Rattus norvegicus: one gene and its partner. The protein of the gene in region 1 interacts with the protein of each later gene in a biochemical or structural test. Links are inferred from orthologs where the notes say so. Each region holds a gene or a part of one and is shown on either strand. Other genes may lie near its edges.

The links.
Region 2: the proteins of Cabin1 (region 1) and Mef2d form a complex in vitro, tested with the Homo sapiens proteins (2 studies listed by BioGRID). The link is inferred for Rattus norvegicus from reciprocal best matches to the Homo sapiens genes CABIN1 and MEF2D.

Annotation. Positions count from the first base shown.
Region 1 is NC_086038.1:12,891,325-12,895,781, forward strand, and holds the start of Cabin1 (calcineurin-binding protein cabin-1), read left to right. Parts: upstream 1-1,468; 5' UTR 1,469-1,722; intron 1,723-4,457. UniProt on the Homo sapiens protein: May be required for replication-independent chromatin assembly. May serve as a negative regulator of T-cell receptor (TCR) signaling via inhibition of calcineurin. Inhibition of activated calcineurin is dependent on both PKC and calcium signals.
Region 2 is NC_086020.1:175,902,679-175,907,166, forward strand, and holds the start of Mef2d (myocyte-specific enhancer factor 2D), read left to right. Parts: upstream 1-1,653; 5' UTR 1,654-1,977; intron 1,978-2,448; exon of another isoform or gene 2,449-2,798; intron 2,799-4,488. UniProt on the Homo sapiens protein: Transcriptional activator which binds specifically to the MEF2 element, 5'-YTA[AT](4)TAR-3', found in numerous muscle-specific, growth factor- and stress-induced genes.

The DNA of each region.
Region 1 (4,457 bases):
TTTTCTATACAGAGTTTCTTTGTGTTGTCCTAGGTGTCCTGGAACTCTGTATACCAGGCTGATCTTGAACTCATAGAGAACACCTGATCACCGACCGGTGTGTGCCGCCATGCCTCGCTTTAAACAAGTTTTCAAACTCTTAAAATATGGTAAAAAAAAAAAAAAAGCTGTAACATTCATTGTTAAAGATGCCCTCTTCTGGTGTGGCTGAAGACAGCTACCATACACTTACATAAAATGAATCCTTTGAACACATTTTATGTGTACGAGTGTTTTGCCTGCAAGTATGGCTTGTGCACCACATTGTGCAGTGCTAGAAGAAGCCAGAAGAGGCTGGTTGTGAGCGGTTGTGTGAGTGCTGGGATTCAACTAGGGCCTTCTGGAAGAGAAGCCAGTGCTCTCAACTGCTGAGCCAGCTCCCAGCTTCTTCCCCCCATATTTATTCTTTCATGAATACATTGTAGCTGTCTTCAGACACACCAGAAGAGGGCATCAGATCCCATTACAGATGGTTGTGAGCCACCATGTGGTTGCTGGGGATTGAACTCAGGACCTCTGGAAGAGCAGTCAGTGCTCTTAACAGTGAGCCGTCTCTCCAGCCCACTATGGTTATCTAAATCATCCTTGGAGTCACTAGCCACTTTAAATTCCAGTAGCAAGGAGCTCCTCCCCAAAGAGCTTCATTAATTCTCCTTATTGGGAGATTTTTCAACTCAAAACCTGGCAATCTTCTCTGACACTTTTCTTAAGCGAGTCTGCTCCCATGCTCTTTTGTATTAAAGCCATTTGAGTTTCTAATTCTTTCAGTCCGACTCTAGTTCATACATTTAATACCTGCCTTTGGGAGACAGGCAGGCTTATCTCTGTGAGTTCGAGGATAAACCATAAATACCGAGTTCCAGACCAGGCGGAAGAGGTTTGGCCTGGGCCCTATGTAGTCCCGCCAGCGTGTCACTTAGGTTTTCATTATCTTCAGAACACCTGCTCCAGGTCTTTGGCAGCAATACCCTTGTTTTGGTGACTGCGGGGGGCCCAGTTTGCAAACACGAGTTCATAAAGCACGCGTGCAAGTAGTAGTGTGTGATGGGTGGGTGGGGTCCACCTTGGCAACCCAGAGACCGAGGCAGGAGGATAGCCACAAGTTCGAAGCTAGTTCGGGCTGCACTAGTGAGACACTGCTTAAAACAAACAACAAAAACCAAAGCAAATAAAACAAAACTGTTAAGTCCTGTAGGTAGCAGAGTGCAGAAGCAGCCAGCCAGCTTCCCGATGTGCGCGCCAGACACACACAGCCTTCAATGAACCTGCTGGTCGGCCCAGACAGTAAGTGGCTCAGGCACCCGCTCCGATTGGCTGACAAGGCCACACTCCAGCCAATGAGAGCGTTCCTTGTTGGTCCGTCGCGCTCAGGAGTCCGGTGCTCCGGCCGTTGCCCTGGAGACGCCGGAAGAGTTCCGGGGAGTGAGGGCTCGGAGGTCCGTGCAGGGCTCCGGTGAGCGCGAGGAGGTGGGAACACGCGACGCCCGCTCTCCATTACGGGCGCGGTGGGCCGAAGCCTGGCTCGAGACCCGAAGGCGCTGACAAGGACCTTCTGGCCACGCCTGCTCCTCCGCGCGCCCCGCCGCTGCGCCCGGAGGCGCCCAGGGTGGGTCACTGGGACCGCAGCTCGAAGCCATCCCTTTCTGTGCGTCCTTTCATTCACCTTCACAGCAGCCCAGAGAGGTGAGTGTGGTGTTAATGCCATTTATAGGAGTGGAAACTGAGGCTGAGGGAAGGTTTTAAACGACTTAAAGTTCCGGTGCGGCTTACTCTGACTGCAGCCATTCTTCTGAACACCCTCTATGGAGGAGGCAGGTAAAACGACTTTACCTGGCGCTCTCACGTTTCTGCACTTGTGGATTTGGGGGCTGCTTAACTCTTCAAGATGTGACTTCTTAGAGGTCAGCAGTGTGGCCTATTGAACCTCATGTGGGTAAAGTTCCTTCTATGTGATTGATTACTGTGCTTAGACATAGAATTTAGAATGGTCTCCTTCGGGGGTTGACAAACTCTTGTAGATATATTTTATAATATGTTGTAGAGTTAATTAAAAATAACCAATACTAAAAAAAAAAATAACCAATACTTTTAATGGTAAGTGTTTTAGATTTGGGATGACTGTTGCTCAATTATGTTTCATGAAGAAGGCCAAAGACAATATATCAGACAGTGTGTCGCTATAATTTTATTTATAGATACTGAAACTTGAATGGAAATATTTTTCGTGTAATTTTCATGAACCAAGGGTTTGGTCAGTTGGTTGTTTTCCTCATTTTTTTTTTTTTTTTCGGAGCTGGGGACCGAACCCAGGGCCTTGCGCTTCCTAGGTAAGCGCTCTACCACTGAGCTAAATCCCCAGCCCCTTTCCTCATTATAAATGTAAAAACAAAACAAAACAAAACAAAAGCCATCCTTCTCTCTCGGGCTGTACAGTAGCAGTGGATGGAGAACCTACAGGCCATGTCTAGTTCAGAACTTCACATCATAGAGGGAATGGACGTGGAGAGGGGCATGTGGGCTAAGTCAGTTTCGCACACACAGTTCTACCCTAAACTTGAGACTGCCAGAAGATGGGTGTCTTAGTTAGCATTTTCCTGCTGTGAACAGACACCATGACCAAGGCAATTCATAAGAACAACATTTAATTGGGGCTGGCTTACAGTTTCAGAGGTTCAGTCCATTACCATCAAGGTGGGACTGTGGCAGCATCCAGGCAGGCCTCGTGCAGGAGGAGCTAAGAGTCCTACATTGTCATTTGAAGGCTGCTAGCATAATACTGACTTCCAAGATGCTAGGACTAGGGTCTTGAAGCCTATGCCCACAGTGACACACCTCCAACAGGGCCACACTTCCAAATAGTGCTACTCCTTGGGCTAAGCATATGCAAACCATCACACCAGGTGTAGTGGCTTGTGTCTTTAATCCCAAGCTCTCTGGAGGCAGAGACAGGCAGATCTCTGAGTTCAAGGCCAACCTGGTTTACAGAGCAAGTTCCAGGACAGTCATAGCGAGACCCTATCTTGAAAACTCCCTTATCCTCCCCCCTCCCCCCAAAAAAGATCCCCAGGCTCCTAGACCCTAGGAGGCCCCTTTGTTGCTTATCATTAACTGGATGACAGTTCTGAGGGGCTTAAAGTGCTTTTCTTTATTATGATCTTGAGCAATGGAAACTGTTCTTCAAAGAGTTTGGAAACAGACCCTCTATGTCGGTGCATGCTTTTAGTCTCGGACCTTAGGAGGAAGAGGCATGTGGTTCTGTAAATTCCAGGCAGCCTGGTCTATATAGCAAGTCCAGGCCCAGTCAGCTGGTGCTACGTAAATTCTGTGTTTTAAAAAAGAAGGGGGTTGGGGATTTAGCTCAGTGGTAGAGCGCTTGCCTAGGAAGCGCAAGGCCCTGGGTTCGGTCCCCAGCTCCGAAAAAAAGAACCAAAAAAAAAAAAAAAAAAAGAGAAAAAAGAAAGAGGTGGGGGTTGTCTTGATAATTTAAAATGATTAATGTGTTATTCTTAGAAAACTGCAACAGCTAGGCTGGGAATTGATAAATGATTATAGATTAAACACCCCAATTTGAAAATCTGAATTTCACCCAAGTCCAAAACTCTTTGAGTGCAGAGATGACTGTGGAAATTCTGCATCATGAAACTTTGACTCTTGTACAAGTTATTAAACATTTTATGTAAAATTATCTTCAGGCTATGTGGCTAAAGTATATGATGAAGTAAATTTTGTGAGAAGGATGCCCTTGAACTTGCACCGTCTCCCAGTGCCTCTTTCTCCTGAATGCTGGGATGATGGGACAGCAAGCCCAGCTTTAAAAAAAAAAGTATTTGATTGATAGGTTCTCTTCTGTCTGAGGGGTGTGTGGGGCGTGAGTGCCACAGCAGCAACTGGAGGTCAGAGGACAGCTTTGTGCATATTCCAGGGATAGAACTCAGGTTCCTTTACCATCTTAGCCACCTCGAAGCTGGTGACGGTGTTTGCTGCCTGCCAAGCCCGAGTTACCATAAGCACCACCTCTTCAAGGTCACACTGTGTGCCAGCGTTGCCCCACTGAGGTCCAGGAACCTTTTGGGGAGCAGGCTGAAATTGACCCTAAACCGTAGCACATACACACTTGAACACAGTTCTGGACCTAATCTCTTTGTTGCTGCATGTACTGGTTGGTACCTCTAGTTTCAGCCATTAAGGCTTTATGTAGCCTGTGCTAATATACTGTGCGTACTAATGGCTTACTGTGTGTGTACTAATGGCTTACTGTGTGTGTATATTTTGTGTTTATAATATTGGTTAAAGCTTATACCCTTCTTAGAAGGTTTTTTTTTATACTTTGTTCCTAGGTTTTTCTGAATGGTGCTTAGTGCCATCTTGTCTTGGTGTTTCTATTGGGACACCTTCGCATAGCTGAGCCCTACCTGAGG
Region 2 (4,488 bases), on another chromosome or scaffold:
CTGCTTTTCCCGACGTCGGAAACAGCCGGAAAAATAAACACCCTGATGACTAAACGGTTTCTCCAGCTAGAGCCTGGGGAAGCACTAAAAATAGAGGCCACAAGTGAGGGGAGGTTCCCCACTGGGAGGGCACTTTCCCATTCTGCTCCCACCATAGCCACAGCAGGAACAAGGCTGTGTTCTCCGAATGCTTGGGGAAGGGCAGATGCCTTTACTCAAGTCTTGGGGGCAAACCAGACAGACTGCTCAGGAGTACTGGCAGCTCTGTGCTGGGAGTGCCCCCCCACCCCCATACTACTAGGGAAACTAAGGAGCAACATTTGGGTACCATGTGTGAGACTATATAAATCAGGCTTCTGGAAGGAGGGGCAAAGTGGAGGGGTTGAAGAGGGAGGCCAAGGGAATAGGAGCTTACTTGCTTCCTGTTTTAAGTAGGTACATATATGCCTCCAAGCTCTTTGCAGAATAGTCCTATTGAACTTGTTCCCTAAGCGCCTATTCTGAACTCACCCAGGGCTCATTTTCAGCTGAGCAGCGTGTGTGGGTCATACAGTACAACATGAGGCACTCACTGTACTTAGTCTACTGGGAACTAAACTCACACCAAATTCACAAGTTATGTACTTGTCCTCACCACCTTCAGCTTACCCAAGTGGATGGAGAGTTAAGAAATGTGCTTTGCTCTCTTCGTAAATAGTGGAAAATTTTGAACCAAAAGAGTCTGGCTTCAAGATTAAATTTTTCTAACCCACCACTTGTCACCTCTTCTTGTCTCTCCCACAAGAAACCAGATCGGGGACTTTGTTCAGTAAAGCAGATCCTAGCTTGTTGAAGAACCCGGTGCTTCTGTTTTGCAAAGCTTTGAAGTCCACGCCAGACTCTGTCATTTCCTCAAGCTCCAGGTAGAGCCAGCGGAGGACTTGTTAGTGACAGGATGCTGGACAGGAAGTCTGACGGGTTAATGTCCAGAAGCAATGCGCACAATCTTGTTGTGAAGCACTTAAAAATTCACCACGCCCAGAGGCCATCAGGGATTTTAAAAAGATTTTTTTTAGAGGTGCAATTTCTTTAAGACAAGATGTTTAAGATGGATGTTTTCTGTGAGGCAAGGGAGGTGGTGGTTGGGGTCCCGCCCCTTTAAATTGCCCCCTCCATAGTTAAGTGCGCTGGAGCCCGCAGGCACTAAAAGCAGATTAGATCACCCGAGAATTATGCACTGTCGCTTTAAATGTCTGGGCGTCAACCGAGCCGGGTCAGGGGAAAGGAGGGGACCTGTCACAGGTAGAGGGAGCAGCGGAGCTCCCCAGGTAACCACCAGATTAGAGAACGCGATCTGGCATCGGAGCTTTGTCACACAGTAAGTGTAGAAGCTGGGTCCTTCCAAAACTCTCATCTCCCCAGAACTTATTTACCCTTAGACCCCTGCCAACTCTGGGGCTGGGGTGCTGAGGTTCCCCGCAGCCTCCTTCCATCCCGCAGGCGGAGGGATCTGGGCTCCACGGGCCGCGGTCGCGCGCCCCGGAGGGGTGGGGCGCAGGCCGAGGGCAAGGGGCGGGGCTGCGTCCCAGGCCTCTCAGCCAGGCCCCGCCCCCCGCCCCGCGGGGGCCTCCCATTGGCCCCCTGCTTGTCCATCACTCTAGTCTTCCCCCCTCCCCTTCTATCTCGCAAGCTAGGCTGCGCTGTGCCTACGTCGGCCTCGAGTCTGGGGCTGGAGGAGTTGCCTTTGGAGCCCGAAAGGAGGAAGGAAGCAAAATATCAACAACCGTCGAGGCGGCTTGGGCGCTCGGCTGCGTCCCCGCCGCCCGCCGCCGCCGCCCCCGCGCGCACCAGGGGGTCCCGGCCCTGTGGCGCCGCCCAGGCCGCGTGGACGCGGCGCCTTCGCTGTTCCCCGTCCGAGCTGCGGCTTCGCGCAGCCGAGGATTCCGCGGACCGGGCCGAAGCTCCCGGCGCCGTGACACCCCGTTCCCCCACGGGCTGGTGAGTCACGACGCGCGTCGGCCCCTTTAAGAGCCCCTCCCCCATGCCGCGCGGCCGGGCGCAGGGTGGTCTGGAGCGCGAGGGGTGTACGGGCGCCCTGGCATAAGCGTCCCGGGCCGAGCGGGGCGGCGGAGGCTGTGGTGGTGCTGGGGTGTCTGCTGTGACAGCCGCGCCTGGTACCCGAGCCCCCGCCGCCTCGCGCCTTGGCGGGCTCAACGCACGTGGCTCCGGCCGCGATCTCGCGCCCGTGGGGACCCCCTTGATCGGGCGTGTCAGCAACCCCAGGTGGAGAACCCCTGGACAGTAGTTTGCAGCTGTTAACATCTGGCAGGACCTCTCCAGGCCTCCCTTGGTTGGTGCGGTGCGGGCCGAGTCGGTGCGAGTGGGGTTCGAGCGGTGAGGCTGGCCCAAGGGACTACGGTGTTTCTGGCCTCCCACCGCAGAGATGGGGCAGAGAGGCCTCCCAGAGATTCCATCGAGCCCTCGGGGTTCCCAGTGGCCCTGGACTACCCAGCTTGTCCTGAGTGCCAGTTCTGCCTACGACTGACCGGCGCACTGGGGCCAGGATAGGGGAGTACAGTGGTTGGATCCGGTACCCTTCCCTACCCGTGTGAGTTTCTTCTGAGGCCTAGCGGGTTAGCTGTGTGAGTGGTGGATCTTCTCCCTCCCCCTAGCCCTCAGTGGGTCTGAGCTGCCTGACTGTGGGAAGTTTGCCGTCTGGGACGGTGACCTTGGGCTGCTCTGGCCGAATCTCGGAGAGGAGCCTACTGAGTGCACTTGGCCTTGGGAGCTGTCCACCTTCTGTTCTCTCAGTATCCGCGGTAGGTATCCGCGGAGGGGAGCTTTGGTGAGGTACCTGTCAGTGTCCTCAGACAGCCAGCTTCTGGCCACTGGCCACCAAGCCCCAGTGCTCAGCCTGGCTGTCCCAGCTCCCATGGCCTTGCCTGTGAATGAATTTCCTTCCTGCGTCTTCCAGGATGGGGGTGGGGTGGGATGAATGTGGGAGTGGCTGAGAACCTTGTTATGTAGGGTGGTTGGGGAATTCTGGAGCTTCTGTAGAGCACTTTTCCCATATACCCCAGAAATGGACAGAGGCTTTGGGATCTCAGTGGTCATTGTCTTTGTTGTGACTCCTGTGCCCTTCATACAAGTACCTTGTGTGTGACTGCTGCATGTACTTTTAGGGAGTCAGCAGCTTTCATTCATTCCCATACCTACCAAAGTGGTAGAGCATTTTACTTGAGATCACACTTCAAATTTTCTATCAGACTTTGGTCTTCCCTCTCTCTGTCACATATTTCATGCAGGGACTCTTAAGATTAAGAATGAAGACATACAAGCCTTGCTCATGCAGGCCTGAGCTTAGAGAAGAAACAGGACCCAGCCAGAAAGTATGGGAAGCCTTGTGTTGGGGGATGGGCACAGGGCTTGTGCTGCCTCTGTTAAGCCCAGTGCCTGGAACAGGGTGTGGGGGACTTGGACAGGAGGCAGGTGCAGGTTGCCCATCCCCCTCTGTGTGGTGATATGGGGCTGGAGGGCCCCAGTTCCCTGCTCTGGCTCTCTGGCTTCTAGTGCACCTCATAGGCTGGGCGATGTGACAGGCTGGCTGGCTGCCGTTATATAATCTCTCTCCAGCAGGTTTTTTTTTTTTTTTCTTTCTTCTCCTGGTCTTCCTTGGTGGTGTGTTGGGAAAGGTAGAGGGAGTCTCTCCATGTCTGGAGCTGGACCAGGGGACAGGGTTAAGCTCACTGAGGCCCCACTCTGACCCTGCTCTTGAAAGGGGCCTCTGCTGCAGCATCCTTGGCCCTTATGTCCTTGGCCTGGACCTCTGTCCGTCTTCCCAGCTTTGTCTTCTGTGCCAACTGAGTTTCCTGTCCTCCATGATTGCTCTGGCCTAGTGCAGGTCCTTGGGACACTTTGCCACCCACACTAGAGTTGAGTTGGTAGGCTGGCTTTTTTCTGTTGCCTCCACTTCTCTGTCCCTTACCTAGACAATTGTGTGGCCTACAGAAGAGCTGCAGGCGAGGGGGACACTATGGGTCACAAGTACAGTTGGTATTGTCCAGGTTCCCTAATGGGACTGATAATCTGAGGCAGGCCCAAGGCTGTTGGCAAAGGTCAGATCTAGGACTGTGGATCTGTGGTGGTGGGCTCTCCCCACACCTTGAGACCTTGGCCAAGACTCTGTAGGTCCTCTGAAGCCAACTGGCCTGAGCAAATTATCTCCCTTTACAGGGAAGTGGGAAGGAGGAATGGTCGCACGCCGCACAGCCTCCGCATCGCTGTAATCACTGGTGGCTTTTATGAGGTAGTCATGGGGCCAGAGTCCAGCTAACCCTCGCTGTCCTCCTGTCCCAGTTTGGTGACTTACTCATTGGGGAGGGGGTGGCATTAGCTGCTAGAAGCTGTGCTAAAGATGCAGACATCTGGCTGTGTTGTGGCTAACATTGTCCTCTACACAGTTAAGAGAAGGCTGGATGAAGCTTGGATATCAGAAATTCCATTGAAGCC